7 linked regions of the Nothobranchius furzeri genome follow. The protein of the gene in region 1 purifies or fractionates together with the protein of each later gene. This does not show direct contact. Links are inferred from orthologs where the notes say so. Each region holds a gene or a part of one and is shown in the gene's direction. Other genes may lie near its edges.

Region 1 (3,002 bases):
AGTGGCTGTGCTGGGTCAATGTTATCGACACCGGCTCGGCAGAGGGTGAACGAGTCGAGGCAACGTCATGCTCTGTTTAAGAAGAGGTGTTATTTTCCCGCTTCAGAAGAAGCGTCCAACGTGTTTTTACGCTTTCTCCGAGACATGTCACATCGCTAAGCGCCGCGCGCTAACGCGTCAATAGTGCAGCGTAGCCTGCTGGAGGTTTTAAGAGTTCAGATGAAAACACCCGACCTCTCAGGCTGCTCACGCATCGATCTTAAGTTGTCGCTGTTGCGCTCACGCCGTAATACAGTATTAGATGCAGTTAAAGTCAGACATGAAAAAATAAATAAATTTTACATGAATAAGTGATGCTTAGCCTGGTGGGGGGAGAATCTGGCCTAATAAGCACTGGAGGAAACCCTGTCAAGATCGTCAACACTCGTTTATCTTAATGCTATTGAAACATGTAAACCAAAAGGCATTATATCCACTGCTACCTTTCTAATTTTAAACTCAGTAACTTATGCTGTAATTTCACCTTGCCCTGCCCGCTCCCCCTTGCCGCCCGCTGGCTGTGATCACAAGTGACAACATAGTAGTTCCCGCTGTTTCTGTGGGAAACAGCGCAAAAAAAAAAAAACTTGGGATCTTGTAGGCGTGGTGGTGGGATTTCAGCCGTGGCGGGCCGCCACAGCTACGCCTATGTAAGGGAAACCCTGGATGTAACTACATCAGTGAGGGTGGGGGTGTCGTGTCTCCTGCGAGCTATTACTGCAGCACCGACAATTGTAATATGATGATGGCTGGCAAAAAGCTCCAGAGTTGTTTAAAGTGGTTGCAGTAACTACATTTTACCACAGGATGCCATTTTGACTTCATTTCTACATAATGCACCTTTAAACTAGACTGATCTCACTTTGCTCTTAATGTTTCTGCTGACTTAATTGTCTCAAATCCACTAAAAAGGTCAACATTTATGGTCTTGTGATCTCCTGCAGAACTCCTGGACCCGGTCAGGCCTCAGATGGGATGACGCCTCTAGCTGGGGGTGGGATGACTCCACGTGGTACTCCAGGTTTGACGCCCGGCCGGACGCCGCTGAGAGACAAACTCAACATAAACACCGAGGAGCAACTGGCTGACTCAACATTCACCAAACATCTAGTAAAAACACAAGTCATTTAAGTGTCACATTGAATCAATAAATCCAAAACCAAATATTTAATTATGTTTATAATCACTTCTTCTTTTCTTTAACAGCACAAGGAAAGCCTGCAGCAGCTAAGGCAAGGGCTGATGTCACTTCCTGTCCCTAAGAACGACTTTGAAATTGTTCTTCCTGAAAACGCAGAAAAAGAACTTGAAGAAACGGAGATGGAGACGGGATATATCGAGGACTCTGCAGATGTGGAGGCACGCAAACAGGTAGGCACACATTCATTCTGATGTAGTTTATAATGGCATCAGTGGTGTTTACTGTATTCTCGCGTGCATTTTCAGGCTCAGCGGGATGCAGAACGGGAGAAGGAGCTGAAGCTACGGCACACGGCAGTACAGAGGAGTCTCCCCAGACCTACTGAGGTTCGACCCGAATGCAGAGTGCCCTGTGGCACGTAGCACTAATAAGACCCGACAAGCCTTTATTTACCTCTGCATCATTACATCTCTGCAGGTAAATGAGTCTGTCCTCCGTCCCGCCTCCATGGAGCCACTCTCTGACCTCCAGATCGCAGAGGAGCTCATCAAACAGGAAATGATCACCATGCTGCACCACGACTGCCTCCACCATCCATCAGTCAACATGGCCAATCAGCTGCAGCGTGGTAAAACCAAAGGCCCCACGTCTACGTCCAACAACGCCTCACACATCTCCTACCTGGAAACCCACTCCTACAAGCCAGTCAGCACAGAGGAGATGGAGCAGGTCATACACACCTCTTCTGTTAAACCATTTTCGGCCATCTTAGGCAAATCCCTCATCGTGGGCAGAATTGTAACAAAAACGGTGTTGCTGCCCAGTGTGACCGGCTCTGTGACAGCTTTTTGAGCCGTCTCACAACCAAAGACAGCCTCGGACAGTCTACAAGCGATGATGTCATGTGTAGGGTTGGGCGTTGAGCATCTGTTAGAACCGGGACGGTCAGTTTTTCCAGAATCATTCAAACTGCTTTATTTCGATTTCTAGTTTCGATTCCCAGGCTGCTGACTGGAAGAATCTGTGGGCGATCTCTGATCTAATCAACGCCTTTCAAAGCCGATCACACCACCTTTCGCTCCTTCTCTGCAGCCCGCATAGACCTTGAGAACAGCATTGCGTCCCCCCCCCCCCCCTCCCTCACACTGCACAGGCGCACAGTGGCAAAAATGTAAATAGATGGCGCGGAGGAAGCTCGTTAAAATGCGTCAACATGGTGGATATAATACAAGTTTTAAAGAACAAACTGCGGGCGGTGTGAGGTGAGTTCGGCTCACTGCAGAATTAAAAACGCACACGGAGCATCAACAGTCAAATGCAGCCACTCACACTCGTCAGACGGCTGAGCAATAACCTTTAAAATATTTAAAGTCATCATGCTAGAGCAGCCTTTCTCTGTGGTGGATGACTGACGCTGGGTTCTGGCCACCAGGAGTCGATACGGACAATAAATATAATAAAAAATCGTTCCCAGGCTTTGGTTGTGGTCGGAAACAAACACTGGTTGTGCTGCAAGTCTTTTTCTTGAAAACATGTTTTTGTCTGAATGAAGGTGATGTTATTGTTCACAGAATAAAAATTCATGCTAAAGTTTAGATGTTTTTAGATCCTGTCAGAATCGGGAATCGATAGGAACCGGATTCAAAACCGCTCGGATTCAAGCGGTGTCCAATCCTAGTCATGTTGGACAGTAAACAGTGAAAGACAGAAATAATGGCAAAACTTTAGATATTGGAGCAATTTGTGATGGATTGTTACTTCTCTGTAGTTTAGTGAGTTTCGTTATGTGTACAGGATGATGAGAAGGATGGATGTCCAGCAG
Region 2 (4,001 bases), on another chromosome or scaffold:
TTTACTAGGGAACATATTTGTTCCTCAGTAGGTACTTGGGAGAAGGCTTCACTTTAAGCTAGACAAAAGCAGTAGGTAATGGTTAAGTACCTAGTAGGTACAGATTAGTACCTTCTAAGTTGGGAGAAGGCTTCACTTTCCATCATCTTGCGATGGACGGATGCCGACAATGGACAAAAAAGTGACAGACGTGTGAAGTCAAGATGAAACAGTGATGTTAAATCACTGTGATGTTGCAAATTATCTGCATTGTTCATGAAGTTTACAAAAAAAAAAAGTCCACAGGCACTACATTCATTTGGGATTTGTTCCTTAATGCGTTCAAAGATTAGTCCCTGAATAAAACTGTTGGGTTTTCACCAGTATGTATTGGTTAACTACCTATTCTTCCCTGCTTCATTACTCATTACTCCCTAAGTCGTTCCCTAGTTACGAAGCATAATTTTACGTACCTTATTGTAAAGTTACTGTTATTCTTCTTAGGTTGTCTACTCTGCCTTTTTTTGACGTCATGTTTTTCCAGTATTTCTGATTTACTGTTCAATTCAATTCAAAAATACTTTATTAATCCCAGGGGGAAACTGATTGCTGTAGTATCTCAGAATAATAATAATAATCAAGTCATCAAAGAGTTATTGTATATTACAATGGCTGTTGGCAGGAAGGATCTCCAGTAGTGTTGCAGCGAAACTGAAGAAGCCTCTGACTGAAGACACTCTTCCGTTGTCGGACAGTCTTGTGAAGAGAATGCTCACGGTTGTCCATAATTTTCTTGATTCTCTGGAGAATCCTTCTTTGCATTATCTCCTCCAGTGGTTCAGAAAGTGCCGAAACTCTGACTGAGTCCTTGAAAGGGCTTGGAGTTCCTCCATCTTGTTGGCCAGTGATCTCACATTGCCCATTATGATCGATGGGAGAGATGGTTTGAATTTCCTCTTTCTCTGTCTCCGTTTTGCTCCCGCTCTGCACCCACGCTTCTTGCGTTTTAGTTAATTTGGGATTTGTCGCGTCAGTTGAGGTATTATTTCAGCCTTTTCAATGTTAAACAGCTGCTCCCGATTGTAAACCAGCTTGTTGCCATGGTTACGCATCATAACAAATGCTCAAAAAGTGAAAAAACCTAAACAATAGCAGCAAAAGTCCTCCAAGCTTCACAGCACCAGAAACAGAAAAGTAAAGTGTCCAAAAAAATACCGTTTTTCTTGAGAAACTAGAAGAAAAAATGTCCAAGAAAAGGCTAAACTTACATATAGTTAACAGAGCTACTCCAACATGCAGCCACCCAGAGCAGCGTAAATAAGAAGAAAAACCATTTTAGTTTTAGCCATTGTAAGTTAAATGGTGTTTTGAGTTTCGCTATTTTGATTTACACCGTGTGGTGGCGGTAATTCACCAGAACGGTTTGGTAACCAACAAATAAGACAAAGAAGAAGAATTTCTTCCTCTTGTTTTCTGGGGAAAAAAGTCTCGGAGCTTTCATTCAATTTCAGGTTGGTACTACGTCAACATCTAACGCGTTTTACATGGTTAAGTGCATTTTAACTGTTGATTTAAAATATTTTTGACAAGCTTAAACGATTTGAGGTAACGTTGGAACTAGTAGAAGTATTTAGGCAGATTAATGACGCTAAATGCTGTTAGTTAGCTTTTAGCTAACACGCTGTTGTTGCCTTCCGCCATGTTTGTTACCATTGCGTTTAGATGCTGGATTTTTGAATGAAATTGGACTTGAAACTGCGTGAAAATAAGCACATGTTTGAGTCTTTATTTTATTTTTAGCTATTTTATTTATTCTCCTAGCCTTAAACATGACCACTCCAGCAGAGGTGCGCCCCAATCACACGATCTACATCAACAACCTAAACGAGAAGATAAAGAAAGATGGTGAGTTTCGCATCATTTTCTTTCCTTTTCTTTGTTTATTTCACGCACAATTAATGCAAAGTCTCCTTTATTATTGTTATTGATTATTTGTTGTTTGTGTGTCTCCCTCAGAGCTGAAGAAGTCCCTTTATGCCATCTTCTCTCAGTTTGGGCAAATTTTGGACATTTTGGTCGCACGAAACCTGAAGATGAAGGGTCAGGCGTTCGTTATCTTTAAAGAGATTAACAGCGCTTCTAATGCATTAAGGTCCATGCAGGGTTTTCCTTTCTATGATAAACCTATGGTACGTCTATTAAACATGTTTAATAATGCACAATTTAGACATTTCTGATGGAAGTACACGTGTGACTCAAATATATACTTTCTTGCAGCGAATCCAGTACTCTAAAATGGATTCGGATATTATAGCTAAGATGAAGGGGACTTTTGTGGAGCGTGACCGTAAAAAAGAAAAGAAGAAGCCCAAACCTGAATCTACAGGAAGTAAAAAAAATGCTGCAGCGATTGCTGGGGTACCTTCTGCAATCCCAGTGAGTGCACTAGGTGTTTTTTACAATCATGGTTAAACAATCTAGATATTTGTTAGTGAAGTAACGGCAGGTTTTAGATGCATTAAGAGTTAAAAGCTCAATTAACATGAATAGAAACTAAACGTTTGTCATTCTTTAGGGAATGCCACCAATGAACCAGGCTCCTCGCATGATGCACATTCCAGGCCAGCCACCTTACATGCCCCCTCCTGGAATGATGCCTCCTCCTGGGATGGCTCCAGGCCAGATTCCTCCTGGTGGGATTGCTCCTGGTCAGATGATGCCAGGACAGATGCCTCAGCAGGTAGCTTGTGTTCTTTTTCCTCACAGAACGTTTTGTTTCCTGTCCTGGTAGTTTAATCCTTACTCTCTTCCCACAGGTTTCAGAAAATCCACCCAACCACATTCTCTTTCTCACCAACCTGCCAGAGGAGACGAACGAACTCATGCTGTCCATGCTCTTCAACCAGTCAGTACTCATTTTCTAGTCATACATTTAAACAGATGCGTAAAAATGGATCAACTTTGACTGTTTTGTGATGCTAACATTGCAAATAATCTGAGAATTTAATTCTCTCAAACTGTTTTTTCTGTAATTGTAACTGAGCTGCTCTGTGCGTTAAAGGTTTCCCGGCTTCAAAGAGGTGCGTCTTGTTCCTGGTCGTCACGACATCGCCTTTGTGGAGTTTGAAAACGAGGTGCAGGCTGGCGCGGCACGAGATGCTCTGCAGGGCTTTAAGATCACTCAGACGAACGCCATGAAGATTTCTTTTGCCAAGAAATAACGCATCTTCCACCAGGTCCTGATTTAATTTGCATACATGTCCGTACATGTAAGTATCTGAGTCAAGTTGCTGTTAAGAAAGTTGGAGTGAAAAACTGGGAGCTCTAACTTTGTGCAATGGTTTGGCTTTAATCTGTAATGCTTGCGCAACTTGGTGTCCACTTCTCTGTTTTTCTGTTTCATAGTTTAAATTTTTTATTATAAACTGTTAAAGCATTGCACCCAGTGTCTGGTCCACCAGACATTGTACCTGGAGCTATTCTTTTTTTTTTATCTTGATTAAAATTTGAATTGGTAAAACACTAGACTGTTCTTTCTTTCGCTGTGTGTGTGTGTGTGTGTGTGTGTGTGTGTGTGTGTGTGTGTGTGTGTGTGTGTGTGTGTGTGTGTGTGTGTGTGTGTGTGTGTGTGTGTGTGTGTGTGTGTGTGTGTGTGTGTGTGTGTGTGTGTGTGTGTGTGTGTGTGTGTGTGTGTGTGTGTGAACAGGTTTGAGCATAAAGGATAACTCAACATTTCCTGTCTGAAATGTCAAAGAAAGGAATTGAGTTTAGAGTTGCATTTGCTTAATCAAGCCAAGCCAACTTTGTTTATAAAGCACTTTAAAAACAGCCCTCGCTGACCAAAGTGCTGAACATAAAAACATAAAAGCATAAAATAGAATACAGTGTAAGGTTAAAAGCACACTAAAATAAAACACAAATCAAATAGAAATCCAAAACGTGTTGAAAGCCAAGCTAAAAAGGTGGGTCTTTAAAGATGATTTAAAAGTTTCCAGTGAGGAGGCCTTTCTAAGATGTGCCGG
Region 3 (4,264 bases), on another chromosome or scaffold:
CGTTCGATTTCTCCTCGGAAATTCTTACTTCATAGTAGGAAAAATCAATTGAAAAAGGACGGTAAAAGGAATGAAGATACACAGTAAATTTAGTTCACAGTAAAGATGTTTGATTCAGTTTAATTATCAGCTGATAAAACTACAAGGGCGCTGTTAAAATACAAACAGTTGTATGTTATTTATCGTGATATTTATCAAATATGGTTATAAATTGAGAAAAAAATATATATATCTAATTATAAAAGAGAATTAAAATAATAAACACTCAAAAGTATCGAAAATTGGTACCGTTAAGTACTGGTATCGATTCGTAGGTACCGGGAATTAGTACCGGATCGATTCAAATGTCAAAGGTACCCATCCCTAATATAACTTAGTTCCTGTAGAAATACAATAATATAAAATTATTATCTCTATAATCACGTGTGTTATCCGCTCTGTTCATTTTCAATATAATAAGATAGTTACTGATTAAAGAATTCAATCAATAAGCTAAAATAAATAAGCACTGGGTGAAGACAATCAGGAAACCTATCTGTTGCCTGCTGAGATTCTGAAGTGAATGAGTTCCAGAAGCTGTATGTAATAGTACATCTATGACATCATAGAACTCAACCGTACCTCTTTGATGTCTGTTTGATCGTGGTAGTTCTGTTTTCCTGGTTGTCCTAATGACTATTGTTTGATCGTGGTAGTTCTGTTTTCCTGGTTGTCCTAATGACTATTGTTTGATCATGGTAGTTCTGTTTTCCTGGTTGTCCTGATTGTTCTCCTGGAAGTCGAGGTAGTTGAAGCAGACAGAATGGATGAACTGGATGCCAGAGCAGTTTTGCTCTACGGCAAGAGGGATGTGGGATATTGCTCTTGTTGTGCAATAGCCTTTATTATGTTTGTGGCATGTTAGACCACATTAATCTACGCACCAGAGTGGACAGGCAGGGAGAAAAGAGACATACAACACAAACAGGGAAAGAGAGGGAGGGGGAAATGGAGGGACAACAGTACACTAAAAATAGAAAACAGACCGCCAATACAGTGGGGTCATCATTTTAAAAAAGTAATAATAATAATAATAATAATAATAATAATAATAACACATCTACAAGAATAAATGGAATAGGAGCTGTTAAATTATATTATCCATATTTATAGTAGCATGTAACTGTGTGTGTGTGTGTGTGTGTGTGTGTGTGTGTGTGTGTGTGTGTGTGTGTGTGTGTGTGTGTGTGTGTGTGTGTGTGTGTGTGTGTGTGTGTGTGTGAGAGAGAGAGAGAGATAGGATCCTGTAAGGGTCGGTAGTGAACCGGAAATGATTACCCCAAATCATCCGGGAAATCGCTGCTTTACGCATGTCTAACGTTGGCGCAAATTATTTCACGTAACCTTCTTGAAAAGCAACAAGCAACCATACTGTTATATCTAGCGTAGGTGCTTTTGTGAATTACACCAGAGATGCGCTGATGGCTGATCGTGTGGTTACCGTCGTGGTTTGGTTTAGCTCGATGGTTTAGCTACGACCATCTCAATTTATTAACGCGGAAAAAAGCACCAGACGGCAACTAAAAAGAAGAAATGTTGTAGTTATTGTTTGTGAGTGGATCGAGGGTGATTTTGAAGTACATAAAGTGCCGTCGGAGCGAAGGTAACGTGGTGTAAGATGTTTTATACTCGTTAGTCTTTTATTGTTGGTTAACGTGCAGCCTTTAGCCGCTATGCTAACAGCGCCGAGCTTCTCCGCGCTGGGCCTGGAATTCGTTATCGAATTACTTTCACAAATTATTTGTAAAGCCGACAATGGACTCGCTGTTTTAGTCTATTTTTCTTAAAAATCTTTAATGCTTGACCTGTGCAAAAATTAGATATAATTTACGTGAAGTCTGGTGGTTTGAAAGTTTAGCGTGTTGTCGCTTAGTACGCCATTGATGAGCTAACATTGCAAACAATATGCTGTTCTCCGGTTTGTTGTGTTTTCGTTTTTCATAAGTAAAAATTACTATATTTTTGAAGTAAGCGGGCATAGTTTACTTTCAAATACAAACCCTTTAAACATTTTACGACTTAAGTTTGATTTAACGGAAAGCCAGATTGTGTTAAAGTGCGTTGTTTAACTTTAATTTAATAAGCCTGTGTGTATTGTTTTTTATCTTTTGTATTTAGCAGTGAGGCACCATGGCAGGAGTCTTTCCCTACAGAGGGGTCCTTCCTGGGATGCCACCGGGTGTGCCTCCTGTTGTACCCCCGGTTGTCCCCCCAGGTGTTCCCCTGGTTGTTCCTCCTGCACCAGTTCCAGACTACATGACGGAGGAAAAACTACAGGAAAAGGGTACCTTTTTAATTTCAGCTCAGCAAATCAAATGGTTGATGGGCTGTGCTTTGCAGATGATCATAAAATCATCTCCTAAATTCCCCCCAAATCATCGCCTTTGTCAGTGAATGTCTGTGTGAATGGATGAATGTAAAGCACTTTCGAGTCCTTCCTCTGAGAGGCGCTATAGATATTTATCATTTATAATTGAATTGTCTCCGCATCTAATCATACAGCAAGGAAATGGCAGCAGCTACAGGCCAAGCGTTATGCTGAAAAGAGAAAGTTTGGCTTTGTGGACGCCCAGAAGGAAGACATGCCTCCTGAACATGTTCGCAAAATCATTAGGGACCATGGCGACATGACCAACAGAAAGTTCCGCCACGACAAAAGAGTTTACCTAGGGTAAAAAATAATTTGTTCTTTCTTGTTGATGCAAAATGCTTTCATACTTTCAGTAATACCAATTCTATCTTGTGCATTATTTGCTGATGAACAGTGCACTCAAGTACATGCCCCACGCGGTCCTGAAGCTGCTGGAAAACATGCCAATGCCCTGGGAACAAATCCGAGACGTGCCTGTGCTCTACCACATCACGGGAGCCATTTCCTTTGTGAACGAAATCCCTTGGGTTATAGAGCCGGTCTACATTTCTCAGTGGGGGTAAGTGTTTGGCATTTCCTACTTTTCAGTTTTGAGCCAATCTTGAGTATCTTATTAGAACGTGCACATTGATGTTACTTTGGTATAATTCATTAATGGTATTCCCTTAATAAATTTCAGCACCATGTGGATCATGATGCGTCGTGAGAAGCGTGATCGACGACACTTCAAAAGGATGCGCTTCCCCCCATTCGATGATGAGGAGCCGCCGCTGGACTACGCTGATAACATCCTTGATGTGGAACCTCTGGAGGCCATCCAAATGGAGCTTGATTCAGAGGAGGACTCTCCTGTGGTGGACTGGTTCTACGAACACCAGCCCCTCAAAGACAGTTCCAAGTGGGTATTTTTCTTTCTTTTTATGTCAACACTTGCTGTATTTGGTTGTTTCACAACTTGAATAATTAAAACATTAAACTGTTTTTCAGGTTTGTGAACGGAACCACGTATCGTCGCTGGCAGTTCACGCTGCCCATGATGTCAACGCTGTATCGTCTGGCCAATCAGCTAATGACAGACCTGGTGGACTTTAACTACTTTTACCTGTTTGACCTGAAGGCCTTCTTCACTTCAAAGGCCTTAAACATGGCCATCCCAGGAGGACCAAAGTTTGAGCCGCTGGTCAGAGACATAAACCTCCAGTAAGAAGCTCCCATCTATTTATCAAGCATGCTGCCTGTGGAAAAAATATTTGTGAATCAGTATCACTTTAAACAGTCAAATAAAAACAGGTACTGAGTGTTTTCTCACTAGGCTGATGGTTACTTTTTACCTTCAGGGATGAAGACTGGAACGAGTTCAATGACATCAATAAAATCATCATCCGACAGCCAATCAGAACGGAGTACAAGATCGCTTTCCCCTACCTGTACAATAACCTGCCACACCACGTTCACCTCACGTGGTAGGAACCAAGCCAGTGATGACCTTAAGCTTAAACTGACTAATGCATTTATTTGGGATAAATCGATTAATAGAGATGAAATGACTGAATTCCCCAAAATGGAAGAACTGCCATGACCGACAAGTGATTTTTGCTTTCTGCAGGTACCACACACCGAATGTGGTGTTTATCAAGACGGAGGACCCGGATCTTCCTGCTTTCTACTTTGACCCACTGATCAACCCCATTTCTCACAGACATTCTGTCAAGGTTTGTGGTGTGGACAATCCTTACTGAGGGAGCAGAAGGGAATATTGTTTTATTTCTGATTAAGTCCTCTTACAAAGGCGCACTTGCACTGGTCCTCCTGCCTGTGCGTAAGAACAAGAGGAACATTAAAATGAATGGTGAT
Region 4 (4,235 bases), on another chromosome or scaffold:
GACTTATACGAACGCCTGCCCAAAGAGACGGCCGTTCAGGTCAAAGTTCCAAAATTCAAACTGGAGTATTCTCAAGAGTTACAGGAGGTTCTTACCAAACTAGGTAAAGTTTTAGATGTTTTATTAATGTTGCAGATACATTTTAATAAATGTCAATTTTAAGTAAAAATTTGGGAAAACCACTGTTATTTTCTTAACTGAGCCTCAAAATGTAATTTTTATTTTTTATATTTTTCAGGCCTCGGGGAGATGTTCCTGAATCCTAACTTGGCTGATATTGCAGACGGCCCCCTGCTGGTGTCCAGTGTGATGCACAAGTCAAGCATGGAAATAAATGAGGATGGTGCAGAAGCTGCTGCAGCCACCAACATAGTTATCTCACGGGCAGCAATTCCAGTTTTCCACCTCACTAAGCCCTTCTTTTTTGTGCTTATGGATGACGTAACTCAAATACCAATCTTCATGGGTGTCATCAACAATCCTAATCCTGGAGCCCCTATCCTGCAGAAAGGACAGTTTGGAAGCAAAGATAAAATGGGTTTCTCATATGACAAAGATCACATGAGCTCATTTGGGGGTCCTAAATAGGAAATACAAATCTGTCCATTTCTTGAGAGAAAGCTAGGAGTTAGCAGTTGTACAGACTAGTCTGGATCAAAATATGTGTGAAAATAAAAACGTTTTGTTTGTTTCATAAGGAAATAATTATGCTTTAAAGCCCAATAGTCATTTTAAGAGGAATATTCATTTTACATGACTGTATTGTATAAGATGTGATGGTCAAGAAATTAAACGATAACATTAAATTCACAAAAAAGTCCCTGTCATGTTACTTGATGGTTTAATTTTCCACCACATGTGGAATGTGTCAACATGTAAAGTCTAAAATATCATATGTTTGAGCATTACTGCATGACTGAGCATTTTCTTAAAATATTTTAATTTGTTTTCTTGTGTACTTAAATCAATTCAATTTATCTAAATCAGTATTGATATGAATTAATTTGCTGAGACATTTAAATCAAATGGTTATTTAAAAATACTTTTCAAATCTTGCCATGTGACACATTTTAGGAGTTACAATATTATTGTAATATGACTTACGGTAAAATTAGTTAATTTCTTAGAATATAATTTTCCCCCTCCAAATATAGTTATTATGCGACGAGTAAAACTGTGCATAATACTAACATTCCGTGTTTTTTAAAAATCGCTGAAAACACAAAATCGGGTGTTTCCTGTTTTCAAATGTCATTGAACGCATCGCAACAAACGTCACTCAGTTTTGCGCTGAGAAATTCAGTGCTGGTCTGCGGTCAGTTTAGTGAGAATTTACCTCTAAGCCTTGCTGTTCTGACAGATTTTGGAAACTGAAGTCAGATCTGTTACCGGAAACGGAACCCGACAACACGGAACTCGACAAATTGAGCGCGCGATGCCTGAGCCGTTGGCGCCACAGGCATAAACTTCAAGCTGTTTGCAGTGATAGTTGTAGAAAACCGTCTGTCTAGCAGTTGCTAAAGTAATCTTCAGTTTCAACGCAAAATCGTCAGACATGCCTAAACTTTCAGAAGGCGCGATTGAGGTAAAGTTAATGTCAGTTCAACTAAAATGCTAACGTGTTTTTGTAGGCATTTTCCTACTATGTGTTTGCATTCGCGCGACATTTTTTACATTGAGGTTAATGGAAACTTAAAAACTAATATTGACTGAAGCTGGTGTAAATTGAAACATAATTTGAAGTAGCGTACATGTGTTTAGAAATCTTTTGTAAAAAATGAATGCTTCTACTGTTAAAACAAAACAGCTGTGTTACATTAAGTTAATTGTTTTTGTTTGCAGGCTTTAGCTAATGGCTCCGGTTGGAATGACGCAGTTCTTCAGCTGGTGGTAAATAACGAAAACGTGAAATACCATTTAAACGTATCATGCTCTTAAACGCATGTTTACTTTTGGGCTTCGTTTTTAGTTCTGACACGGTTAAGGCCCGCATCACATGCGGCCTCTTTGTTTAACCGTCATGACGTATTGAAAGCTGTGTAAACTTGTGAAGCTGCTTTTTGTGCGTTATATATTTTAGAAGAGGCATTAAACGCCACACTCTTTTTCAGAACGCTGCTTCAGCAAATTCCAACAAATCAGTAACTCAGGCATTAGTTAAATGCTTTTGCAGATTTCTTGATTAAATTGCAAGAGTTTATTATTTTTTTCTTTAACTTTTAGAACATTCGCAAAATAGAGGGAGGAAGTGGGATACCTCGCTTTCGGGTGATGATGAGTGATGGACGCCACACACTGTCATGTAAGTATGATATACATTTGGATCAAACCAGTCTCTGACCCTGGGTTTGGCATTTAATCATTTTTGAATGGAAAGTGTTAGTGAGACTGCATCTTTAGAGAGAAGCTACTCCGTTTGCAATTTTAATTTGTCTAGTTTCATAGACTCAAATCTCATTTTTCCTGCATGATAGTTCTTGGTAAATAAATAATTAGAAGGTCAGGGCAGCTGTGACCTTGACATTTGTTCGTTAGTGGAAAAAATTGGCACTATCTCCTTTGTTTACTTTGTCAGGGAAAATTTTACCCTGAAGCACTGTTGGTGTACGAATCGTGTGATGAGCAGCACATCTATTTGCGTTTTAAACGACAACATGATTAACATTTAAATGACATCTGGAATGCATATTTGTTTTGTGGTTTTATTTTGCAATCATTAAAGGTTTTAGGTAGCCTGGCAAGCTATGTTGATATATAGTCTGGCTACAACCCATAGACTGAGCTCGGTCTTGGGGCAGAATCTACATTTTGTTTTTTAAACGGTCTCTGCTTGCAATACTACAGTGCTAGCACCAATCAGAGCAACAAACAACGTGACGTATTGACAGCAACGGAAATCGCTCGACAGGGCAGTCTGCCATACATTATCGAAGAGGTACCTCCACCTGCTGCACAAGTCTAAGTCGCCCAAATTTGATACCAACACCTTTTAAAAAGAGTGCCGTTCCTGAGCCGATGCCATCTTTGTTTTGCTTTGTCACCGCTGTGGTTCTAAACTCCTCAACTCTTGCTAGACCAACCCGCAGAGCATAAATCTTCAGATACTCCTACAGTTTTTCTAGTTCTCTAGGCTAGGGTTTAGGTGCACATTGTGAGTTTTTTTTTTTTTGTTAACGTAAAGCTAACCAAACATTTTCCCTCATCATTTGCAGCCTTTATGCTTTCCACTCAGTTGAACTACTTGGCTGAGGAAAACATCCTCGCCCCAAACTGTGTGTGCATTCTGAAGAAGCATGTGACCAATATTCTGAAGGATGGACGGTATGCAGATTTCGTAGCAAATATAAAAATTTGCTATTTAAAAAGCAAAAATGAACAAGAATTGATGTAAAATCTGATTGCAGCCGAGTGGTCATCATTTTGGAAACCGAATTGATCAAACCTGCTGAAGAAGTCAGTGGTAAAATTGGAGACCCTACTCCTTACTTTGATGGTAAAACTCAATGGCAGTGAGAGAAACAGAGGTGACTCATTATTGAGTCATCGTGTTGCCATAGGCTTGTGGTAACTTGATGTTCTGTTTGTAGGTCAGAATAAAGGCCAGCAGTCTGGCCCCGTCCCTGCAGCTCCAGGCCCCGAAGTCAGACCTCCACTGCAGGCACAAAACAAGAACGACGGTAAGTTCAAGCTTTTGTCTTTTATATTTATTTAATTTTTCTGCTGAAAAAGCTGACCATAGACAAAAAACAAAATGTCCACTAGATGGCAGCAGCTTTCTGATGGTTTAGGCAATCTTAAGGTTTATATGACATTTTGACATTTGCGTACAGAAATCTTATTTTTATCCTCTTATGAAACAAAAATCTGTGCTTTGTTTCCATAACTATGCTTCCTGTTGGTGCATCGGGAGGAGTTTCCTGTTCTTTCCCTGTGAAAGACAATCACTCAACCAACTGTCAGAGTGTTGATTAGATCAATAAAATACAAATTTTACGTTCAGATTTCTGAGACCAGTAGCAGAGCTGCAGACTCCCACATCTATGTTGTGTCTGCGAGTGACGAAGCAGACATTCATCCCTGGAATCTGCCATGTGGGAGTGAAGGCTTGCAGCAGCCATCTTCCTCATCAACAGGAGGGATTGTTCATTTCTCTGTGTGTGCTGCTTGATCTCAGAGTTTAATTACCTGAAGTGCAGCGGTTGCCAAAGTGTGTGGACTCGAGTGAACACTTTGAA
Region 5 (3,450 bases), on another chromosome or scaffold:
CCTGTGAAGGCTGCTGGAAAAGGAAAAGGTGTGAAAGTGAAAACGGAGACTCTGCCCACGCCGCAGGGCCGCCGCATTGTTCCTCGCATCACCAGCGCTATGAAAGCTGAGGCCAACAAGAAGGCTTGTGTGAGGAGAGGAGAGAAGCAGGAAGGCAAGCGAGGCAAGAAGGCCAAGGTCTGTCCCACCACACAAAGCGCTGCTATTTCTCCTCTGTGTCTGATCCGTGTTCATCACTTTTAACCTTTGTTTTCCCCTAATGCAGAGCGACAGTTTAATAGTGAAGATGGAGTTTGACGAGGACATGGAGAACATTTCTCCAGTGGAGGAAACTGGTTTGGTTGCACGGCTGGGCAAGAAAACAAATGCCAAGGAGAAAGGTGGGAATGACTCACGGTGCAGAGAACTTGTAGTTTTACAATAAACTCATTTCTTATTAGTGAATATTTACTGGCAGATAAAGATTGCTTAATAATTTCACTTGTTAGTAAACCGTTTTAAAGTCTGAAGGAAGATGTAAGGCTTGGCGTGGAAGGGTAGATTTCACAAGTTCTCACTAATAAGTTCTGGTTTTTATTCGTGCTGAACTTGGTTCTGACTCCTCCGGTCCAGATTACATCGATATCCAAAAAGGATCAAACAATACTTTTAAGAGATAATGTGCATTTTTGCCGTTAATCTCTGGAAACTTCCATCGAAACATTGAAAATGAATAAAATGATGTCCCGTCATTGAAAAAAATTGGCAGCTTTGTAACATTTAACCATAAAAATCGGGTCTAGAGTACACCAGGTGTGAGTCTAACGTCTCTGAGGCAGGGCGTGTTTTCTTCTGGCCGGCTCGGGTTCACTGCCTGTTGATGTCACACTAGATGATTGGCTGAACGTTCGACTTACAGAAGTTAGGTTACCATGTTCAAAAACATTTAGGCAGTAAGAAACTCTAATTTAATAACAAACTGCTAAACTCTTTCCAAAACTGATGTGAGGGAACAGAATAGAAAGAGATGCCATATGTTTTGGCTGAGCAGTAATGCCATAGTTTAACATCATCAGCAGGCACATGAACCCGAGCAGATCCAGAAACTACTAGCAACGGTCACAGTGATATGAAACGACAGTAAATGTATGCACTGCCCCCTAGCGCCAGGAAACTACACACTGACGCTTTCAGTTTTCAGCCCAATATGACATGAAGACACCTAAAACCTGAACTCTTAAGAGCCACCTGTTTCCTGCAGCTTCAAAGACCAGCAAGCAGACTACTCTCCAGTTTAAGGCGGTGCCCAAGAAGTCTAAGAAGAATCCATGGTCCGATGAGTCCGAAGGTTTTTCTGACAGCGAGATGGATGCTGATGATGTTGAGGAGGAGGTTGTTGTCCCCAGAGAGAAGGTGGAACGCAGAACTAAAGGTAAGTCGGCATTATTACACTGCAGAATAAGTCACAGATGAACACCAGATACTCGTTCTAAACATTTATAGATCAAGGGCTAATGTTTCTGGTTTATTAACCTTGTATGGGATTGTCTCCTGGTTATCTTGGATTCTTTCTCTACAAGAATAGTACATTTATTTCAAATACTTGTTAAACAATTGTTTCTGTGATTTTTATTTTTTTTTTTTTTTAGCTCCAGTGAAGTACAGCATGTCGGACAGTGAGGATGAGTTTGATGACGGGGAGAAGAAAGCCCCTAAACAGAGAGCTGTTATCAGCGACGATGATTCGTCCTTTAACGTAGGGCTCAGCGCCGCGTCGGACAGCGACAAGGACTCTCCAGCTCCGCCTCCCAAAGCTCCAAAGCCCACGTTAGTGTACATCAATGGAAGGGTTGGGATTTAGATGGTTTTCTTTAACTTGTCTTACATTTTGTGAATTTTCTTCACAGGAAAAAGGAGACCAAGAGCAAATCGGTATCTAAACAAACCAAAGCCACGTCTAGTTGTAAGTGTTTGTTTGACACGGGTGTTGGCGTGTCTGAGACGGGTGTTAGCTTAAAGTCAGGTGATTTATTAACCAACCTAACCTTATAAACATTTTACAGCTCATTCTGATGATCCTGCTCCCAAGGCTCCAGCTCAGTCTAAAACCAAAGAGGCTGCACCTAAGAAAGCTGCTGTTGCTAAGAAACCAGCTGCTTCCAAGAAGAAGGCGGCAGGTAAACTAGTTGGCTCATTATGGTTTATAAAAGACACATTCAGGTTTCCTAGTTGCAGTGCTAGTAACTTCCCCCCGCTCCCAGATGTGAAGCAGCCGTCCATCGTTGATGCTCTGACCAAGCGCAAGCCTGCATCCAAACCCGCTGCTGCCTCAAAGCTGCCCTCCTTTGACTCTGACGACTCAGAGGCTGAGTTAAAAGCTCCAAAAGCGAAACCTTTAAAACGAAAGCAGGTGGTCAACGAAGACTCGGACAGCGATTCGGGTAACCTCATGTCGAGGCTCAAAACCAAAACAAATGCCGGCCCCAAGGTTTGTTCCTATTATACCGTAAGGTTTTCATTTCTGCGGTTTTCTTTGTATATTTATACGTTAACACCTGAATATGTTTTGTTTTTTTAAGAAACCTAAGAAGTGGGATGAGGATGACAGCTTCCTGGTTTCGGACCAGGAAATGGCCTCTCCAGTTGCTGCTGCACCCCGAGACAAAGCGGCACGCGCTCGCAAACCCGTCAACTATAACATCGATTCAGACTCTGATTTTTAATGTGAGTCTTTAAAAGTTTTTTGAGTTACCTGGGTAGTTTTGTTAGACCACTCCTACTTGAAGAAGCCTCAGTAGGACAGTCTGTTATTCAATTCACTTGTTGTATGTTGAATGTTCTTAACGAGTTTTTGTCTTAAAATCCATCCAGTGTTTTAATGACTGCAATAATCCTGTTGTTTCCGTTGCCATGTAAATATTTCAGTGGCTTTTCTTTAACTGTTTTTGAAATAAAATGTGTGTTCTTTTAATTGTGTGAGCAGCTTTTCTTTTGTCCGTAAAACAGGTAGACTAGTGGAGAATAATGTACAACTTAAAGGTACACTTGGCATTTAGCTTGCTTTAGCACCCCCTAGTGTCTATTTAGTAGAAGCAAAAGTGAAACTTCTTTCCTTGCTTTGCGTTTGTCTTTTAAACACAAATCTAACAGCTGAAACGCCTCCCCCACCTTCATTAGTGTCCACAGGAGTGGTTCAACCTCAGATAAGCTGTATTCATGGTCTAAAACATACCGGAAGCAGACTGCAATGCGGGGCGTGTCGGCTCCACTTTACTAATTTCAAAGGACTGGACCAGCACTCTGAAGTTGCAAGTGTGATACTCTTGCTACAGCGGGTGGTGGTGGTCTGAGTGACATTTCATTAACCCTGTAAAAGTTAATTTTGGCACATACTGGCTCAAGAAAATGATATAAAAATATGAGAAAGTTGCCTAATATGGCTTTAAGACGATCACCACGTTGTTAGAATAC
Region 6 (3,934 bases), on another chromosome or scaffold:
CTTATCAGACCGTTGCGATATCATTCCTGCTCAAAGAAAACGTGGCCATTATTTCCTACGACTGTTGCACACTCTGGTGTAACTTAACACCTCTTTAAACTGTAATATTTACACTTTGGTCCGTGGGTTTTTCAAAGTCACCGTCTGAGCGTTCATTCTTATCACATGTTATGAGGTCAGATATGTAAAGGTAAGGGAAGTCAGCAATATTTTCACTTTATCTCTTCATCTTTGTATTTATCTGAATGAGGACAACTTTCAAACAAACTTTGTCAGTAGGTTAGGGTTCAAAATAGGGATGCACAATATATTGGCATTAATATCGGTATTGGTCCGATACATTAAACTGGGCCAATATTAACTGATAATTTTTCCATCTTGTTTTCATTTGTTTATCTGTTTCAGAGGGTGAGGGAGGTGATGTGTAATTGTTTAGTCATGTGACAGTGATTGCAATCATCTAACAGTGTAAACATGTGTGGTGTGTGTACATAACGTCAATTCAGCTTTAATCTTTACAAATCTGTTGATCTTAGAAGCATTAATGTCAGTATATCGGTATTGGCAAACATCGGTTATCGGCCATAACAGCGATATATCAGATATTGGTATCAGCCCCAAAGTTTCATATCGGTGCATTGCACTGAAGATTTCTGTTTATTCAACTTTTCAGGAATATTTATGAGCTTCAGGTAAAAAAAATGTCATAGCAGGAGGTCAGAAAATAATGAAATGCAAACCTGAACCATGATCGCATACAAGACTAAACTGTGACCTTCTTTCATCGAAGGATTGCGTAATTATACCAGTCACTATGGTGTCATGTTGTGAGGTAAGTGTCTAACCCACGACTTACAGAATCAGTTCACAGACTACGGTCGGTTTTAAACAATAAATTAATGGAGAAAACAAGGGAGCAGCATAAATGTAGCTGAGATCTTCAACAGGAGTCGGGTGCAGGAATCTGCAGACAGATGGAGGTTAGATCCAGCTTGAAAAGGGCAACAGGGACTTTAGAAAACTGGGGAAGCACTAAGATTGGTCTGTAATTATCATACTGTAGTAAACAAGATTTGTGGTTTTCTTAATTTGAACACTACATTTTATTGACCTTGTAAACATCCATCCATCCATCCATTGTCTGAACCCGCTTTGTCCACGTAGGGTTGCGGTGGGCTGGTGCCTATCTCCAGCGGTCAATGGGCAATCAGGCGGGATATACCCTGGACAGAAAGCCAGTCCATCGCAGGGCAACACAGAGACACACAGGACAAACAATCATGCACGCACACACACACACACACACACACACACACGCACACACACACACACACACACACACACACACACACACACCTAAGGACTGTGGGAGGAAGCCGGAGTACCCGGAGAGAACCCACGCATGCACAGGGAGAACATGCAAACTCCATGCAGAAAGATCTCAGGCTGGGAAGTGAACCCAAGGCAACAGCTCTAACCACTGCGCAGCCGACCTCGTAAACAATACAAGTAAAATAGGTTCTTGGAGTCCTGTCATGCCGGTCAAAATATGCACGATTTTTCTCCGATTGTTCCTGAACGCGTCTAGTTCCGGAAGTGACGCACCGTTGTGTACAGGAACGTTTCCTTTTCACTTTTGGAAGCAGCTTCGTAAGTGTTGTTGCTTTAAAAACGTATTTAAATTGTGTTGTTTATTTTAAGCTTTGTGTTTCAAACATGTTTACTCTCGTAATTATCTTGCATTGGGTTTTAAAAATAGGAAATGTTCCTTAAATTGCATTGTCACCCACGTTAGCCTGTTAGCAACTGATTAGCGGTGGAAGCTATCAAGCTAACTTGTGTTTTAAACAACATTTAGGAGGAAACTGATCGTTAAAGGTTTTAACTCATATTAACATTAGACTTATTATGATGTATATCTAAAATTACTTATTGTAATTTATGAATTGGTCAGTTATTTTCTGCTTTACGTTTTGCCAGAGCACGGCCATCAAAGATGACTACAGCTGCAAGACCAACATTTGAGCCGGCGAGAGGGGGTAGAGGAAAAGGAGAAGGGGATTTGAGTGCTCTTTCTAAGCAGTATTCCAGTCGGGATCTTCCAGGTCACACCAAGATCAAATACAGGTCAGAACAGTGGGTTCCAGTTTCTCAACCTTAAATATTTATTCGAACTACTTAAACTGTGTTTCTTTCATCTCAATTAAAAGGCAGCCTACCCAGGATGCCCCTGAGGAAGTGCGTGCCCGTGATTTTCGCCGAGAGCTGGAGGAGAGGGAGCGTGTAGCTGCTCGTGAGAAGACCAGAGAGAGGGGACCAAGAGGTGGATTTTTCTACTCATAATAAAGATTAGATCCAAAAAGGATGTATGCAACGGTTTCTGGCATAGTTCCTTTAATCTGTATTGTGTTGATTTTATTTCTTCAGAGCACACCACATCATCTTCTTCATCATCATCATCTTCAAAAAGGCCCAGACTGGATCAGATCCCAGCAGCCAACCTTGATGCCGATGACCCTCTCACTGATGTAAGGATTTACATTGCAATACATCCCAGACTTACACTGGATAAAGTTATTAATCCATTTTTACATTACAGGATGACGAAGACGAGAACTCAGATGAAGAAAGTGATGATGACGACACTGCAGCCCTGCTGGCTGAACTTGAAAAAATTAAGAAAGAGCGAGCTGAAGAGCAAGAACGCAAAGTAAAGAGTTTTAAGTTTGTGTTTGCTTTGGCTATAAATGAAAAGTGATGTTATAGAGGATGGCTTAACCTCCGTGTGCTTTTCTTTTGTTATTTAGGAAAGAGAGCAGAAGGCAGAGGAAGAGAGGATTCGAATGGAAAATATTTTGAGTGGAAATCCATTGATAAATTTAGCAGGACAGCAACAGCAGCAGCAGCAACAACAGCAACAGAGCCAAACTCAGAACACATTCAGAGTCAAGAGAAGGTATTTCTTATGTTCACTTGTTACAGCAAGAATGTTGGTTTTTTGTTTGTTTGCATTTGGAAAAACAAATATATTCCTTCACCACCACTAATAATTCTGATGTACTTCTAGGTGGGATGATGACGTAGTGTTCAAAAACTGCGCCAAAGGAGTGGATGAGGCGCGGAAAGAGAAACGTTTTGTCAACGACACGCTGCGCTCTGAGTTCCACAAGAAATTTATGGAGAAATATGTAAAGTAGAGGACTTTGTGTGTGTGTTTCATTTGATCTTTTTTAATTGAAAATGTTTTAGTTTCAAGCATTTTAATTGCAGCTGGCATTTATTTACAGTCTAACTAATTGGAAACCGTACTGTCTGCAGGTCAGTTGCTGTTTGCGTAAATCATGAAAGTTTGAAGCACATTTCAGAATGTGATTTCAGTATTTCTGTCATGCATTTTTCATTATTTGAATAAACATTGACTTTTTTCCCTTGAATTACTTTGCATAATTTCACAGAAATAACAGATTGTGCATTTTTTAATTTTAAAGGGTAAATTAACTTAAAAAGTTAAGTTTTATAAAAAATGCTAGGGGTGGGGTGCCTAAAATCAGCACAGAAATGGGTATGAAGAGTGTTGCTTTTCATTTAACCCTCCACTCCCTAGTGCTTTTTTTGTGCAAAAGGTAATGGGTTTTGCAAAAGTTCAAGGATGTGGCGAGGGTTAAAAGATACTTTGTAACTTGTTCATATTTTTAGATAATTTTCTTGAGCCAGTATGTGCTAAAATAACCCTTCACAGTGTTAATGAAATGCCACCCAGCCCCTATCGCCCCCTGTGGCCAAAATATCCCACTTGCAGCTTCACAGTTGCTGGTCTGATCTGTTGAACTTAGAAGAACTTGAGCTGACATACCTGGCGCTGCAGTCTAGTTCCAGCAAGTTTCCTGCATGGTTTAGATCATGAACACAGCTGATTTGTTTCATTTAGTGATGA
Region 7 (3,742 bases), on another chromosome or scaffold:
ACAAGTCGACGAAATTCATTTTATCATCTCTGAGCTGTTTACCTTCATTTTCAGTCACTTTAGGTTTATACGCTTTTAGCATATCGGCGTTCACACTACAGCATCGTTTGACTCGTATTTATTAGCTGCTTTAGAAATAAATCATTTATCATCACTTCCTTATTATAGTGAGGATCTTCTTTTGGTGTGTGTGCCTTCTTTAGTTTCTATTTGTTAACATTGTTTTTTAAACACGCTAAATCAAAGTTTAAAAGCCTAAAACATTTCATGGCGCAGCGGCCCGACGTTTAACCCCTTTATCTGAATGTTCACGTCCAGCTGACCTTTGATTTTATTTTGTTGGACGTGTGACTTCCTGTTTGAGCCCCGCTGTAACGTTTACAGGAGAATAAAACACGACTGCTGATCTGAAGATCGATTACTCAGTTGCTATGGTTAAGGTGGAGAGAAACCCCAAAAGGACATTATCTGTTTCCACATGAAAGATTTCCAGGAACACGTGCTCACCTGCTGTAATATTTCATGACTTCTGTTTTAAACCACTGCATAATTAGATTTTCTTTTCTAGAGTTCAACAGCAGATGCACTGAGTCGAGACTTTTTCTGCTCCAGAATATTAATAACGTGTTGCGTCAATCATGTGCAGGCAACACACAGAGAGGATGACGGTTTTATTTATTTTTATTATTATTAGAAGTGGAATAATGCTGAGTTTAATGGCCTTGTGCCGTTTTTCTTTTTGTGCTTCACACTTTATGATTTATTGGTCTCAGCCTACATCTTTGGAATAAAAAAAAGCACTCTCATTGATTATACTTGATACATTCCCAGCAGGTCTCAAGAAGACAGATTTGATGTGTGGCCAAATCTCTTAAGTATCGGTGCAGAGTTTACTCTTAATAAAATGAGCTGAAAGTGCTGCTTTGTGGTTTTATTCAACTGCGACAAGTTCTCTGAAGTTGTCTCCTGATCTGTTGAATGAATTAGGTCTTGATCAGTTAGGGTTAATTGTTGTGGATATTTTACCTTTTTTCATCTTCCAGATTTTGATAAATCAGTAAAAATGTAAATTTTACTACGACTTTAACACATGTTGCACATAAACACCGTTTTGACCTTTTGGTTGCAAATTCTGCAGATCACGAATCCAGCAGTAGGTAACGGTAGTGATCTTCCTAAATATTGATCATTTAGGGATCTTTGTTTTGGATATTTGACCTTTTAACTGCCAGATTCCAATAAATTAGTAGTAAAATAAAGATTGTGGATTTTAACACTACTGTAAAACATGTTGCACAGAAAAATAAAACAAAAGTGTTAGAACGGATCACAATTCCACCAGTAGATGGCGGTAATTACACCCCCTCGTCTTTGTTGTCGCCTTTTAGTGACGTCACATCCCTGAACGTTTCGAATACAACAGCGGCCTGTGTTTTCACTCGATCGCTGTAATTTTTGTCTTCGGTGGAGGATTTTTCTCTACTGTTTTCCATCATCATGAAACTAGTCAGGTAGGCGGCAGCGGGAGGTCCCGGATTAACCGGAGAATTAACGTAAACTGATCAAATGAAAGTGATGTGGCCGGATGGATTGGGATTTGATTAAACGGTGATGAGGCGGGAAGTGGAAAAATGTAATGGATCCTGAGCGACGTTACGGCGACCGCTGAGGGTTTAAAACACGTTCCTACGCACAGTTTTAATTATCAACATAGATGAACGTCTACTTTAAGTACATTTCTATTTCAATAAGTAAAAATATTAGGCTAGACGTTAACTCATTCAACCGTTGTAGCATTAGCTTGTCAATCAACTAAAGCGGCTCAAAATGGGGTTTTAACATAATTTGTTAGAGTTCATTTTGTAAATATTTAGTTTAGCTGTTAAACTGGTGGATAATCAGTGTTTTTATTGTTTCAAACGCTTTAAAAGTCACCTAATAGCCATCGGTGGCTAACTAGATAGCTAAAGCTAAGCTACTATCTAGCCTCTGCGAGAAATGTCCCAATTACGTTGTGATGTTTTCACTCAGTCATCGTGTGCAATGATGCCCACAGGTTTTTGATGAAGCTCAGCCATGAAACCGTAACCATTGAGCTGAAAAATGGCACCCAGGTTCACGGCACCATCACAGGTGAGCTCATAAAGGTGGTCAGATAAGCCAGGAGTCAGCTGAAGCTCTTTAATTTCAATACTAATGACATATATTTGTATGCATTAAGTAGATTAATACCCACAGCTGTGCTTTCATCCTCATAGTCAGACTTTAGTACAGATAAATCTGCACAATGTATGTTTTTGTATTATTTAATCCTATTTGATGGGATTTTTTTATGTTTAACAAACCCTAGACAAGCACACACACAACCTGCAAATTAAAATATTTTCTAATCTGTAAAATTAATCCTAAACTCAAGTGCCAGATGTACTTATGGCTGGTGTTTCATCCCTCCTCTCTGTTTTTCAGGTGTTGATGTGAGCATGAACACTCACCTGAAGGCGGTAAAAATGACCCTAAAAAACAGGGAGCCCACTCAGCTGGAGTCGCTGAGTATCCGCGGCAACAATATTCGCTACTTCATCCTCCCAGACAGCCTCCCTCTGGACACCTTGCTGGTTGACATCGAGCCAAAGATCAAGTCCAAGAAGAGAGAAGCAGGTGAGAAAGGTGAAAATGCATAAGATATGTTGAGTTGAATTTTATCTTAAGGTGTTTTTTTTAGAAAGTGAATCTGAATTCTCCTTTGCGTGAACAAAAAGGTTTTCACAGTGATGTAACTGGTGTGTTTGCACAGGTTTCTGCATGGGTTTATATTAAAAGAACTAAATTGTAACATTAACTGTACGACATAATTTAAGGAGTGGTTTAAAGGACCAGATGCTAAATGAGCAATATGGTGTTTGTGACACTTGTGCTGATGCTGCTCATCTGTCTCCTCAGTGGCTGGACGGGGACGAGGCAGGGGACGGGGACGTGGGAGAGGAAGGGGACGGGGACGAGGTGGACCAAGGAGATGATCGCAAGGCTGTTCTGTTGATTCCTAACACTTCACTGTTTGTACAGGATTTTTTTTTTCCTTTGCTTCATTAAAGCAGAAACGTTTTGTGAATTTCTGTGTGCTTTTTAGTTGGACTTTTTTTTTTGTACATTAAACTTCTGGTTAAGAGGACAAATTACTCTGACTTCTTTGTGTTGGTTTTTAATACTGAATAAAGTGTCAGCACATAAACTAGCATCATTAACTACTGTGTTGTCCCAATCAGATCCCAATGCTACTGGTGTACTAGCCAGCCCCACGCTTCCTTGTGTATAAAGTTACACAGATGAGTCTGGCAGGCCAGGCTCTAAAATAAAAATGTATTTTATGAAATTATTATTTAGTCATCAGACCTTTATCCCACTACAGTTGACAAAATAAAGCAAAACTGTTTATTTAGTCAACTTTTAGGTGCAGTTTCTCACATCAGTTGTGATAATTGGTAAAACTGCACATGTAGGTGGGGGAACGTTGTTTTACATTACACCGGGGACCAAAGTCACCGCTAGATGGCGGTGTAGGAAAAGTGACCTGGTAGATGGTAGCCTATAGGATGGCTTGCCGGGCTAACGTAGAGGTTCGTGGAATGACGTAAATCATTGCCCAAAGCTAGTTATTTTATATTAAACGATCATCTTTTAACATATTCGTCACATGTCGAAGGCACCAGGTTCTTTTCGAGCAGGAGTATTTTTATCACAATGT

Evidence for each region.
Region 2: the proteins of cdc5l (region 1) and snrpa purify together in Homo sapiens (affinity purification with mass spectrometry; 4 studies listed by BioGRID and IntAct, with this or other methods). This does not show direct contact. The link is inferred for Nothobranchius furzeri from reciprocal best matches to the Homo sapiens genes CDC5L and SNRPA.
Region 3: the proteins of cdc5l (region 1) and prpf8 fractionate together in Homo sapiens (co-fractionation; 5 studies listed by BioGRID and IntAct, with this or other methods). This does not show direct contact. The link is inferred for Nothobranchius furzeri from reciprocal best matches to the Homo sapiens genes CDC5L and PRPF8.
Region 4: the proteins of cdc5l (region 1) and rpa1 purify together in Homo sapiens (affinity purification with mass spectrometry; 3 studies listed by BioGRID, with this or other methods). This does not show direct contact. The link is inferred for Nothobranchius furzeri from reciprocal best matches to the Homo sapiens genes CDC5L and RPA1.
Region 5: the proteins of cdc5l (region 1) and top2a purify together in Homo sapiens (affinity purification with mass spectrometry; 3 studies listed by BioGRID, with this or other methods). This does not show direct contact. The link is inferred for Nothobranchius furzeri from reciprocal best matches to the Homo sapiens genes CDC5L and TOP2A.
Region 6: the proteins of cdc5l (region 1) and cwc15 purify together in Homo sapiens (affinity purification with mass spectrometry; 4 studies listed by BioGRID and IntAct, with this or other methods). This does not show direct contact. The link is inferred for Nothobranchius furzeri from reciprocal best matches to the Homo sapiens genes CDC5L and CWC15.
Region 7: the proteins of cdc5l (region 1) and snrpd1 purify together in Homo sapiens (affinity purification with mass spectrometry; 4 studies listed by BioGRID and IntAct, with this or other methods). This does not show direct contact. The link is inferred for Nothobranchius furzeri from reciprocal best matches to the Homo sapiens genes CDC5L and SNRPD1.

Annotation. Positions count from the first base shown.
Region 1 is NC_091752.1:40,116,975-40,119,976, forward strand, and holds part of cdc5l (cell division cycle 5-like protein), read left to right. Parts: intron 1-983; coding exon 984-1,149; intron 1,150-1,245; coding exon 1,246-1,410; intron 1,411-1,485; coding exon 1,486-1,566; intron 1,567-1,657; coding exon 1,658-1,909; intron 1,910-3,002.
Region 2 is NC_091753.1:42,104,708-42,108,708, reverse strand, and holds snrpa (U1 small nuclear ribonucleoprotein A), read left to right. Parts: upstream 1-1,363; 5' UTR 1,364-1,490; intron 1,491-1,800; 5' UTR 1,801-1,808; coding exon 1,809-1,884; intron 1,885-1,995; coding exon 1,996-2,168; intron 2,169-2,256; coding exon 2,257-2,415; intron 2,416-2,554; coding exon 2,555-2,719; intron 2,720-2,795; coding exon 2,796-2,884; intron 2,885-3,040; coding exon 3,041-3,200; 3' UTR 3,201-3,501; downstream 3,502-4,001. UniProt on the Homo sapiens protein: Component of the spliceosomal U1 snRNP, which is essential for recognition of the pre-mRNA 5' splice-site and the subsequent assembly of the spliceosome. U1 snRNP is the first snRNP to interact with pre-mRNA.
Region 3 is NC_091753.1:37,707,806-37,712,069, reverse strand, and holds the start of prpf8 (pre-mRNA-processing-splicing factor 8), read left to right. Parts: upstream 1-1,464; 5' UTR 1,465-1,642; intron 1,643-2,157; 5' UTR 2,158-2,169; coding exon 2,170-2,323; intron 2,324-2,541; coding exon 2,542-2,710; intron 2,711-2,804; coding exon 2,805-2,969; intron 2,970-3,089; coding exon 3,090-3,308; intron 3,309-3,397; coding exon 3,398-3,610; intron 3,611-3,747; coding exon 3,748-3,873; intron 3,874-4,016; coding exon 4,017-4,122; intron 4,123-4,264. UniProt on the Homo sapiens protein: Plays a role in pre-mRNA splicing as core component of precatalytic, catalytic and postcatalytic spliceosomal complexes, both of the predominant U2-type spliceosome and the minor U12-type spliceosome.
Region 4 is NC_091753.1:47,659,194-47,663,428, forward strand, and holds the start of rpa1 (replication protein A 70 kDa DNA-binding subunit), read left to right. Parts: upstream 1-1,435; 5' UTR 1,436-1,555; coding exon 1,556-1,585; intron 1,586-1,842; coding exon 1,843-1,890; intron 1,891-2,223; coding exon 2,224-2,302; intron 2,303-3,212; coding exon 3,213-3,321; intron 3,322-3,404; coding exon 3,405-3,493; intron 3,494-3,587; coding exon 3,588-3,677; intron 3,678-4,235. Other genes in the region: serpinf2b (serpin peptidase inhibitor, clade F (alpha-2 antiplasmin, pigment epithelium derived factor), member 2b), read left to right, coding at 1-103, 239-588. UniProt on the Homo sapiens protein: As part of the heterotrimeric replication protein A complex (RPA/RP-A), binds and stabilizes single-stranded DNA intermediates that form during DNA replication or upon DNA stress.
Region 5 is NC_091756.1:31,444,746-31,448,195, reverse strand, and holds the end of top2a (DNA topoisomerase 2-alpha), read left to right. Parts: coding exon 1-177; intron 178-265; coding exon 266-380; intron 381-1,240; coding exon 1,241-1,411; intron 1,412-1,628; coding exon 1,629-1,806; intron 1,807-1,886; coding exon 1,887-1,942; intron 1,943-2,042; coding exon 2,043-2,156; intron 2,157-2,240; coding exon 2,241-2,467; intron 2,468-2,558; coding exon 2,559-2,702; 3' UTR 2,703-2,950; downstream 2,951-3,450. UniProt on the Homo sapiens protein: Key decatenating enzyme that alters DNA topology by binding to two double-stranded DNA molecules, generating a double-stranded break in one of the strands, passing the intact strand through the broken strand, and religating the broken strand.
Region 6 is NC_091750.1:48,553,258-48,557,191, forward strand, and holds cwc15 (protein CWC15 homolog), read left to right. Parts: upstream 1-1,499; 5' UTR 1,500-1,650; intron 1,651-1,735; exon of another isoform or gene 1,736-1,878; intron 1,879-1,980; 5' UTR 1,981-1,996; coding exon 1,997-2,127; intron 2,128-2,210; coding exon 2,211-2,323; intron 2,324-2,427; coding exon 2,428-2,528; intron 2,529-2,599; coding exon 2,600-2,710; intron 2,711-2,807; coding exon 2,808-2,956; intron 2,957-3,067; coding exon 3,068-3,197; 3' UTR 3,198-3,434; downstream 3,435-3,934. UniProt on the Homo sapiens protein: Involved in pre-mRNA splicing as component of the spliceosome. Component of the PRP19-CDC5L complex that forms an integral part of the spliceosome and is required for activating pre-mRNA splicing.
Region 7 is NC_091759.1:18,894,640-18,898,381, reverse strand, and holds snrpd1 (small nuclear ribonucleoprotein Sm D1), read left to right. Parts: upstream 1-1,373; 5' UTR 1,374-1,497; coding exon 1,498-1,511; intron 1,512-2,056; coding exon 2,057-2,133; intron 2,134-2,466; coding exon 2,467-2,667; intron 2,668-2,940; coding exon 2,941-3,017; 3' UTR 3,018-3,242; downstream 3,243-3,742. Other genes in the region: gamma-glutamylcyclotransferase, read left to right, coding at 3,739-3,742. UniProt on the Homo sapiens protein: Plays a role in pre-mRNA splicing as a core component of the spliceosomal U1, U2, U4 and U5 small nuclear ribonucleoproteins (snRNPs), the building blocks of the spliceosome.